3 linked regions of the Arabidopsis thaliana genome follow. The protein of the gene in region 2 interacts with the protein of the main gene of each other region in a pairwise test. Each region holds a gene or a part of one and is shown on either strand. Other genes may lie near its edges. The genes, in order: AT5G59650, AT1G10660 and AT1G16170.

What was found.
Region 1: the proteins of AT1G10660 (region 2) and AT5G59650 interact in a protein complementation assay, tested with the Arabidopsis thaliana proteins (one large-scale study listed by BioGRID).
Region 3: the proteins of AT1G10660 (region 2) and AT1G16170 interact in a protein complementation assay, tested with the Arabidopsis thaliana proteins (one large-scale study listed by BioGRID).

The regions. Positions count from the first base shown.
Region 1 is NC_003076.8:24,029,224-24,032,981, reverse strand, and holds the start of AT5G59650 (Leucine-rich repeat protein kinase family protein), read right to left. Parts: upstream 1,637-3,758; coding exon 1,555-1,636; intron 1,445-1,554; coding exon 907-1,444; intron 799-906; coding exon 343-798; coding exon of another isoform or gene 320-342; intron 261-319; coding exon 66-260; intron 1-65. UniProt on the Arabidopsis thaliana protein: Required for accurate photosynthesis.
Region 2 is NC_003070.9:3,530,180-3,533,937, reverse strand, and holds the start of AT1G10660 (uncharacterized protein), read right to left. Parts: upstream 1,710-3,758; 5' UTR 1,271-1,709; intron 1,047-1,270; exon of another isoform or gene 1,021-1,046; 5' UTR 930-1,020; coding exon 616-929; intron 531-615; coding exon 497-530; intron 416-496; coding exon 191-415; intron 89-190; coding exon 5-88; intron 1-4. Other genes in the region: AT1G10657 (uncharacterized protein), read right to left, coding at 2,416-2,459, 2,596-2,745, 3,011-3,116, 3,209-3,286.
Region 3 is NC_003070.9:5,538,315-5,542,072, forward strand, and holds AT1G16170 (ephrin-A3 protein), read right to left. Parts: upstream 1,689-3,758; 5' UTR 1,253-1,688; intron 860-1,252; 5' UTR 839-859; coding exon 560-838; 3' UTR 352-559; downstream 1-351. Other genes in the region: AT1G16180 (Serinc-domain containing serine and sphingolipid biosynthesis protein), read left to right, coding at 2,591-2,774, 2,849-3,088, 3,170-3,281, 3,361-3,535, 3,634-3,758.

The sequences.
Region 1 (3,758 bases), on a different chromosome or scaffold from region 2:
AGTTAACTTATTTTGAAGATAAGTGTCAAAGTGTGCATGTTCATATCTTGGATCTTACGACTTACAAGGATAATACTCTTGGAGGTTTAGAAACATCTGTGTTGTTGCTACAGTTCAAACCATCCCACGCATACTTTTGAGGGACGCAAGGATCTCCTTGCCACCTGATTCTACTCAATTTATAGGCAGCTTCGATATTTTTAACAGCAACCACTGATGTAGAGCTCAAGGATGTGAGAATTAGCAGGTGAAGTTGATTTCTCTAGTTAAAAAAAAAAAACAGACTGTATCTGCATAACAATGAAGATAAGTAACATACCATCATTTTCATTTGTTTCCGACCGTGGAAATTGGATAACTGTGTAGATTTCAAGAGCGTTAAGTAGAGAAGGAAGAGTTGACCTCGAGGTTTTTATTAGCTGGTAAATGCAATTTTCTCCTTTGCATGTCACTGGAGAAAGATTATGGATAGTAGTCACCCCTAACTTTGGAGGGATGAAACCTTCTTCAACAACAGCTCCATCCCATAATATGTCAAATTCTCTGGTATCATTGGTCTGTAAATCTTGTATCTCAGAGAAGTGGCTGTACAAGTAATATTGGTCACCAGGATTGTCTGGTGGCCAACTGATTGTCAATGGCGCGCTGGCATTAGAAGGCGTGGCAGCCGCTGCAAGAGCCTTTTTTGGTGGTTCATAATTGTTATCATTGGTCACTTCGAGAGTGGTGAAAATTTGGGTCCAATCATCCACCATAAAGTAATTATGCCATCTGCGATCATAAATATCATCCGGGTACCTATGTGGAACAAAGGTTGTATTATCCTTGAATAAGTATAGGAATGTTAAAAATAAAGAGTATAGGAATATAGAATCCATCACTGTTAACCAAAAAAAAAACACTTACCGAAGAAAGCCATCTGTCTTGTTGAGATATATCCGAACGAAAAGATTCAAAGAACCATCTGTGAGATAAGAATTATTTCCTAATGGCCGTAATTCCAAGGCTGAGATCAAGGGTGTAGTTGTCCCTGTCTTAACAAGACAAACGTTCAAAGAGTTTGATGTTGGAGTGTGAAGGATCTCCTCCATTGTACCATTCACAAACTTTTGCAAATCTATAGTTGCCCACAGATTAGGTCCTAGATGCAGTTCAAATATCGGGTTAGAGTTACGACCATCGTAATTCCCATAAATGAACCTAGCCCTGATCAAATATTTCCTGTTCTTGTCAACACTCAAACTATAGCAGTTCCTTCTCTCCTCTGGAAAATACCTCAGCCTCGTGTACGGCTTAAGGTAGTCATTCTCCATACTCGCCTGGATTTTACCACTTTCACCAGTCTGGATGAATTCAGCATCAGACGAGAACCGTAGTCCGGTTACTGACTCAGTATAAGAAGACGGTTCAGTCATGGGTAACCCGCAATCCAAACTGATAAACTCTGTTAAGAGAGTGAAAAATCAAAAGCATCTCAGATACAAACATAACTAAGACTCGAATCAGTAAGAAGTAGTAGTGTAATATACATATAAACCATTAAGATTTAGGTACCTTGTTGATCCTGAGCTTGAACACAACCAATAATGGCAAAAGCTCCTAATAGCAGCAGCAAAAGCCAACAAGGACTATCCATAATTGCTTTTAGATATCAAAACCTTACCAATGCCAGAGTTTGAGAGAAACACAGCGTATAAATAGATAAACCCAAGAAACAGTCCAAGCCTCTGGCAACATGGCAAGATGTCCTGAGTCAGTGAAACGAATGAGTAAATGTGTTTTCTATTGCAACTTTACAATTACAAATTTGATTTGTCCCAAGAATGTCAGAATATATGCAACTTGTATTTAGAAAAAATAATATGCAACTTCTGTGTTTTTAAGAGAATATGTCAATAGAGGGTTTTACAGTCACCACTCTTTTAACGCATTAAAAAATGTTCACACAGAGAGAAAGCAAGAGATTTGACTTTCTAGTGGTCAGTGACTTTGATTGAATCATATCGGATAATTTATCACTAATTAATACACATTTTGACGTCTTCATCGACAAGAACAGCTTCTAATCACAAAGCAGAGGATTCACATTTATCAACAATGACTATTATCTAAAGAGAAGTGGGTCAACATGAAGAAACAAATTTCAAGACAAAGACGCCATTATCAGATATCTAAAATCATAAAGTTCAAATTTTTAAAGGATTTTCAGTTACATCATAAACTGAGAAATTACCTTCCGGCCATGAAACTGAGAGAATTTTGATTCCATCTCTTTGAGCCGGCCCAATAACTTTTGTGAGGAGGAGGACGAATGTGAGGAATCTCCGGAGATAAATCGGCCATATACGGCAGCGAAATCTCCCGTCGTGAGAAGGACGGCGATGACAATGAGACCTCTTCATCGGCGATTAGCACTGTTTGAGAACGCGATTGGCGATTTGGAGTGCTGGAGAGTAGCGTTTTAAACGCAACGGTATGTATATTTTTCAACGTTGCTATAATAACAGAAATAATTGTTATGGGCCAAACATGGGTTTTATCAGCCCATTAAACAGAAAATAATGAATTTGGAGTGCTGGAAACACGGTCGCTGGAGAGTAGCTTTTTTAAACGCAACGGTATGTATATTATTCAAGCTTACTTACAGAGTTTCTAGTTGCGTAAGATTTTGAATCGCAGCAGCCATGGTTCCAGTTAGACCACTTGAAGACAAGTTTCTGGTGACATGTCCAAAACCACATTCAAGTGTCACAACTACTAACGGATATTGAAGAGCGTCTGGTCAGAAATCGATATTCTTACGAAAAAATTACGGTCATTATTTTCGTCAGAAAATTGTGACCATTTTCATACAAAATTGTGACGTATTTATTTGGTCATAAAAACGTTACTATTTCGTTATAATATTATGACTTAATTGAATGTAACTAATGTTTGTCACTAATTATGTCAAATTTGTTACAAATTATATAGTCATAAATATAAGTACGGATTTGCGACCAAATATAGTAACTAAATTATACGATAATTGTGACTGAATTTATGTCATGTATAGTTACGAGAATTTTGTAACAACGATGACACAATTTGTCACTGTTTTAGTGACTTTTGCGTTTGGTCATAGATTGTGACATAAGTGTTACCAATTTTAATACAAAAATAAAAACTTGTGAACAAAAAATTAAATAAAAAAACTTCTTCAGTTTTGGAAACAATGTTTTTGATAATACAAAAAAAGCTGTAAAAAGTCCAAATGAAAAAAAAAATTATTCGGATTCGTCACTAGTTAATTCGATATCAGAATTTCCATCTTCAGCATCTGATCCATCTTCGGCTTCTACTACTGGATCATCAAGATCTTCTGGTTGGGCATCTAGATATGATAGTGTCTCGATTTGTAATGAATCAACTTCAACAATAGAATCATCGTTATCATGCTGCATTGCAGTGAAATCCAGATTTTTGTTATCAATACTTTCCCTCTCGGTTGTATCATAATTGCTGCTTCCCATTGTTGATCTTTTCTCGGCTGAGTCATCCGTGGATATGGAACATAACATACCTGATCTGCTTGTGAAGCCAAAACAAAAGGATCATACTCTTCATAATGCCTTTTAGCATTAATATCAATAATCCCTGACTTGTTTCTTCGTATACCTCTCCCAACTTTTGAATCATACCAATCACACTTGAAGACCACGACCTTGAGATCAACATGTCCAGGATAATGAAGCTCATAAATTTCTCTCAATATTCCA
Region 2 (3,758 bases):
TTACAAAACTCAGCTTGTAACCTTTAGTAAACGGGTAGATTATCGCCCAAAATACAATATCTGTTAGCACAACAGCACCTGCACAAGTCTATCCCAACAGAAAACTTTGTAAGTCCTTTTGAAGCTTTGAGATGGCATTGTACAGTCTTCACTCTCAACAAGATAACTTAGGGGAAAATAAGACACTTACTTGGAAAAGGATCTGAAAGATATAAACCCAAAACCCCGCTGTTTTTCGGGCGGGTGCTTCTGAAGGTCTATTGGAAGCTTTTGACGTATTTCCCTCCCCATCAAGAGCGATTGGTGGTCTATAAGTGCCTTGTTCCGTATCACCTATACTTGTATAACTCTCCATGTTTCCACTAGCTTCTTTATTATAGATGCAGCATCCATAAACAGATAACACCGAAGCATACTACGAAGAAAAAAAGTATCACAGATTTAGTATCTAAAACTAAGGTAGTAACCTCAACAACGGAATTTCCAAGAGATGTACCCCAAAGTAGAGTGTGACAAGAGTAAATGTCCACCTGTTTCAGAAAAAAAGTTTAGATCTTTTTCATTCATTTCAAGGATTCAGAAATGTGAGAAGGAAGTATAATGATTAAAACTCACTGAGTATAGAAGTAGAATATGCCAGCTCCATCGCGCACAACATTGGAAATGAGTAAAGTCAACATTGCAACAAACGAGAATACCCTAAAGGCAAGCAACCAAAGAGGGTGGATTCTTTTAAAACATGTGGTCCAAGCTTCATCTTGGAACAATGTCCCTGGTAATTCTCGCTGGCTCTCGCGTTGTCTTCTTCTCTTGCCTTCATATTTCCAAATGAGAACAGCTGCTAATACTATTGGAGCTAAGAGGATTAATGCACAGAGGAGGACCCTCCAATTCAACCAGTAACTTGAAGCTGTGGTATCAGCAGCCATGGCCAGTCAATACAGTCCTAAGATTCCACCAACAAAGCAAAAGAGAACATCACCACTAAGAAACATATTGGTCACCCATTCTCACACTGTTCTGTTGCAAAGAGTGACAAAATGTCTCTGTAAGAATCTCAAAAAGTTTTAGAATTTGAATTATTCACAAGACTGTAAGATGGCGAAAAAGGTAAGACCTTTTTGCACTAACGGACAAATATAATTGGAACAAGAACTTGCGATATAGAATCCATTTCAATTTTCATAAATTAACGAAGTTTTTCAAAATTTCATTGTATCGAGCAAACAGAACAAAAAGAGAGGTGAATCCTAAAATACAGAAAGATTACTTGGAGATTCGAAGATTGAGAGGAGACTCTCTTCTAACGCATCCTCGCAACGACTCGAAGATGCTGAGAGCCTCCAGGAAACCACAAAGAAACCAGAAGAAGAAAAAAGGAAAGATCTTTGACGGGATTATAAGTTGGCAGAGGAAGAGGAGGAAGATGGAAAATTTTGTCGTGCAGATTTTTTATCCGATCTAAACGGAATCGCCACAAATCGCAATTAATTTTTACAACCCCGGTTTTGTTCGGTTTAGGATATGTGTGTACCTCTGTATTTCTGTTGGTGTGACAAAAAAAAAAGAACCGAACAGGTGTGAGCGCAAATCAATTCCGTCTTTCACTTTTCTTAAACCGGAGATAACCGGACTTTAATGTCACTTTGTTAAAACATTTGTTGCTGCATTATGTTTTTAGGAGGAATATGCTCAAATATCCAACTCTTATTTCCTACTCATGAAATCGTGTAGATCTTTGAAATAAAATATCCAAAAAAAAAATTTGTCAAAGGAAATAACCAAATTTCCAACATCTTTTCATATGCAAATCTTTGCCTATCTTTTGTCACCATTTTTTTTTTTTTTTTTTTACATTTATACACCTAGCCAGCCTCGTTTGGAACTTAAAAATATACATTATAAACAACTAACTGAATGATCGTCAGTTGCACTTATTCTTTCGTAAAAGGAAATAAAGTGTTTTAGTTTAGATTCAAATTAGTATTCAGAATTCGAACCAGATTGGTCGTTTTCTATGCCGGCGGGATTGGTTTTAGTCTTAGTGTCATATTTTTAAGGTTGCTTATTTAGATGCAGTCTATTTACTCAAATTAGTAAGCGCTCGTCATGGTTTAGTTAAAAAATATATTTTACACATTTGCTATATATAAATCGTAAAGCCTCTTATAATCGAGGGTTTTCAATAAACAGACTGCATCTAATTATCTAAATAAGCAACCTTAAAACTAGTTTACACACGAAAATCAATCTTATCTGCTTAATCTTATAGGGGAACCTTATGACATCAAAAGGACCACAGATAATAAGCATGAGTATTTCATCATAGGAATATGTAATACATATGCCTAGGTATATATAAAGTTCAAGCTTTTTCTCCTATATATCTAGCTACGAGCCTAAACCAAGTCTTCATTATATCCTTTTCGCAAACCTCGGCGATCTTCGAACATATCCGCCTGATAAAGAAAACATAACTCTCATCAAAATGAACTATATAACAACATACTTGATGTGTGGTTTATATGTTGACTGAGGAATTAATTGAAATTTGTTAACAATTAGAAGAGGACATTTGATCCCACAATCTCTTACTTAAGAAGGGCCTAGGAGAGACGAAATGCCCATACGTTTCAAAGAAGTCCTTGTTTTCTCTTTGAAGTCCTCTCCAAACTGCGGGGGGGGGAAAAATATCATGTAATTTTTTTTGTAGCACACTTGCAAAGCCTAATATATAGCTGAAAACTGCATAAATTAACTAGTTACGTTGAAAAACTGTTGTGAACTCAACAATATAAGTTATGTCGAATATATAATGATGAACATACATGATCCAAGAAAACAATAATCAATTTCTTCAATTGTTCCATATAATTATATAATTTGACGTACGAAGCAAAATCGAAACATATGTCTAAATATCATTATTAATTCCTTTTAGTTAACGAAGCTTTCGAACAGTTTTGAGGAATCATATAGAGGTTATATGTGTAACGTTGTAAAGACTAACCAGTGAGTGTAACGAGTGGTAGAATGCTTGCGTGGTGGTCTAACGCCTTGACGCATTCGTCCCGCGTCATACGGAGTAGAATGCATCTCTCTATCATATGTTGAACCTAACAAAATCAACCACTAGTTGTGAGGATTGTTACATCAAATACAAAACGTATAAACTATATACAGTATGTGTATATATGTAGTTATGTACCATGCGAATGTAAGAATGTGGTTGGCAATGGAGACAAGGGAGATTGTTGTGTTGTGATTCATCAGCATGAGTACACATTTTCCTCTCTTCTTCCTTATCCTTTGATCTTCGCTCTTCTTCTTCTTCTTCTTAGATCTCCAGTTGATTTGGGGAACAAATCCAAGAACTTTGGAAGAGAATTATGAGTTATAGCGCTGAAAGGAACAAAACAAGAAGATATTTTCTTAGACAAAACTAGGAAGCTTCTAAATATAAATACACATGCATATACATACGCAGATACACATGTGGTTATATTGGATAGTGTCATTTAATGAGTTATCCAAGAGAGATCCAAGTGAAGGGCTAAAAATAGAGGAGAGGATCCAAAGGATAGATTCTCTATCCGTCACTTTTTCAACTTGATATCACATTTTATTTTATTTTGGTTGGAACTAACTTGTCTTTTGACTATGACTTCTCAGTTTACTTTGTTTTTTTCTTACTTTCTGGGACATAGGTTCTGCCAAACTTTAATTAGGGTTCTTTAATTTTGTCTGTTTATTTAAAC
Region 3 (3,758 bases), 2.0 Mb from region 2:
ATGGTGACAAGAAAATCAATAAGATCACTCGGCAGCAAGTCATCCATCTTTAGCCACAAAGTGTATTTGAAATTCGAAGTTAACATGTACTTTTGAAAATGAAGTGTGGACTTTTGGTGTGACTTGAATGTATTATTTGATGACTGGAAAAACTTACTTGTCTAGGAGTCAACGATGTGTCAGAAAATGTTTGACTTCAAGCATTATGGTTTCAGTTTCAGAGTCTCGACCTGTGTAGGTAGTAGAAGTTATATCCCGCTGCTATCATCATTCCGCTGGTAAGAATTCCCAAATATACAGAAACGCATGAGCTCTAATAAGAGCGCCTAATAGAGGCTTGACATACAACCGGAGGTGACGATCCGACTCAAAACAGTGCACATGTATACTCTCATCTCATCTGATGAAATAAAGTTATCTTTCAATTATGAATCTCTGGTTTTATTTCACCATGTAATAATACACACAAATTGCATTATAGAATAAAGAAGAAAAAGAATGTTTTAGTACAAGAACAATAAATGTGGGGGTTTCAAACTTTCACCGATAGATAAACAGTCTAGAAGAATTTAAGTTTCCCTTTGGAGAGAGCTTGAACAAGTTGTAATTGACACATTGCCTTGTCTTTCCCGGTCAAGCCATAGCAGGACGAGTGCCTAGCGCCTAAAGTGACTGCAAAGTAAAGATAAACAGTACAGAGGAAAGCCAAAAGAGCCAAAGCTGTTAAGAGATATTGATGCCTCTGAATAAGAGTCGACCAGCTACCCAACTCGTCCCACTGCTTCTTTAGACATTGTTGTCTCCTTGACGGTGAAGATACAAGCCCATCAAGAACCATGGCTTTATAATACCAATTAACCTGCAAAAATTGACACACAAGTCGTTTTAACACAATTTTACAAGAAACATAAACATGCTATGAAAAGGAGATCATCACAATCAGATTGAATGTAACATTTGGGAGATCACTTTTCCATCATAAACCATCATAAATGTCAATGAGAAACAAGAATTCGAGACACATATCGCTGTTTTGATTGGTTGTGGAAACGACATTAGTCATAATTATAATTACAAAAGAGCTTGGATCGTATACGAAAGATGAAAATGAAAGCAACAAATTGCCAACAATAACGTCATTCTCAATCAATCATCAATCACAATACACAACAACAACAACTCGCGATCGATGCACATTGGATAATCGAGGGAAACAGATCCGAAGTAGGTGAAAGATTATTAGAAAACGAACCGGTGAGAATCGGTTTAGAGATCTGGAGAAGAAAAAGCTAGATTCCAGCTCCGTCGACAACCCCCGAAATCTTCAGCAGTGTTGTTGCGATATGGAGAGAGAGAGAGAGATGGATCTCCTCCGTAGATTGATGATGGCTCGAGCTGGGCCGATTTGCCGGATACGCCGTACGCGGCTTATTATGTCCGTTACATAAAACGGGAATTTAGGGATTTTATATACAAAACAATAAAAAGATAAAAAATAGGAAAGAAGATATATAAAGAGGACAAAAAAATGATGATGCGTTGTTTGTTAGCTTCCACTCCTTTGTGTTTTGAAGATGATGGGCATGTTGTTAGAATCCGATGATGAGTGATGACATTTACCTAGGACTATGATCTGACTCTTGCAGCTTCCAGAGGGCATTTACGAATACGTATTAAGATAAACTTTTTTAATCATTAACGAGAAGACAACTCATGTTCTAGTAATCACGATAATGTTTAGTACTTTTGTATATTGTATTTGTATGACAGTATGAGGTGTTCAATATTTTGGTTTGCTTCCAACTAAACTAAAAGTCTAAAATACATTGTTTTAGTTGCACTGAAATCCTAATAGACTGAGTTGCCGTTGCCGTGAATCACTTTAGCCGGTTAGCATTTAGCATCCAAACCAAAACTATTTACCCCCAATAGCCTAGAGTTTTTTTTTTATAACTTTTTTCTTTTTCTTTGTAAGGAGACTTGCAAGGTTTTAGTAGAGGTCTATCTTAATCAAAAGCCCATGCATGATAAACAGAAGGAGAAATTAAAATAATTTGGGCCATTAGTGGGCCAAACATGAAAACTTGGTATTGATGGTTTACTAGTTCCTTTGTAAGTTGGTCAAAAGTCCGAAATCAGGAGCGAGATAATAAAGAAACAACGAGTTGTTTTACTTTTCAAGGAGAGGATAGCTCAAGGTTTTTGATCGATCGCAAGGTATTTTGATTCTCTCTTTCTCAAGCGATTTTCGTTTTCCTTCTTTTGTTCCAGAGGTCAAATTCAATCCCTAAAGCTAGGTTTCTCGGGTGAAGCTTTAGATCGGGAGCTATGATTTCATCTCGAATTTGGGGATAAATTTCAGCTTATTTTAACCAATTTCAATTGATTCCAAATAATTCTGTTTATCTCTGAGCAAAATTGATTAATTTTCGATTCGGTCTTTAAAAAGCTGCTTTTCTTACCGTCTCCATCCGAAATTAGTTTTTTTTGTTTGTTTGATGATTTGTGTTTTGATGATTTGTGTTTGCGTTTTGGTTGATACTAGCAGCTGAATATTGAATCCAACCTTTAATCTGAGAGGAGAAAGAAGATGTTTGCAGCTTCTTGTCTCGCATCGTGTTGTGCTGCTTGTGCCTGCGATGCTTGCCGTACTGTGGTTTCTGGGATCAGCAGACGTTCTGCTAGAATTGCTTACTGTGGTCTCTTTGCACTTTCCTTAATCGTTTCATGGATTCTCCGTGAAGTTGCTGCTCCTCTCATGGAGAAGCTCCCTTGTAAGTTTTTTTGTTATTATACTTCTCGTGAGATTATTTTGGTGTATGCAACTAATCATTGACATTGTGTGCAGGGATTAACCATTTTCACAAGACACCTGATCGTGAATGGTTTGAGACTGATGCTGTGTTGCGTGTCAGCTTAGGGAATTTCTTGTTTTTCTCTATTCTATCGGTTATGATGATCGGTGTGAAAAATCAGAAAGACCCTCGTGATGGTATACACCATGGTGGTTGGATGATGAAAATAATCTGTTGGTGCATTTTAGTCATCTTTATGTTCTTCCTTCCAAATGAAATCATCAGTTTCTATGGTAAGTTTCTGTTTATCATTGCAAAGTGATTAGTGAATCGATTAACTTGGAACTAATGGGAATCAATTTTACATCTTGCAGAGTCGATGTCAAAGTTTGGTGCTGGATTTTTCCTGCTTGTTCAAGTTGTACTTCTTTTGGATTTTGTTCATGGATGGAATGACACATGGGTTGGCTACGACGAGCAGTTCTGGTTAGTAAATATATTTGCAATTAAATCATGTGACTTCATTATCCCACTACTAATCTAAGTACTTGACTTTTATATATAGGTATGCTGCTTTGCTCGTTGTTTCTCTTGTATGTTACTTGGCAACATTCGTCTTCTCTGGGTTTCTCTTCCACTGGTTTACTCCATCTGGACATGATTGTGGACTCAACACCTTCTTCATTATCATGACTTTGATATTTGTATTCGTCTTTGCCATTGTAGTTTTGCATCCTACTGTAAGTTTTGACTGAAACCTTATATTTCTCTTATCTGAGATCTTATTTGATTCCCAATTTCAGGCTCACTGAAGTCAAATTAACCTATTCTTTTGCAGGTCGGTGGAAGCATTTTACCAGCATCGGTTATATCTCTGTACTGCATGTACCTCTGTTACAGTGGACTTGCAAGTGAACCCCGGGATTACGAGTGCAATGGTCTCCACAATCACTCTAAAGCTGT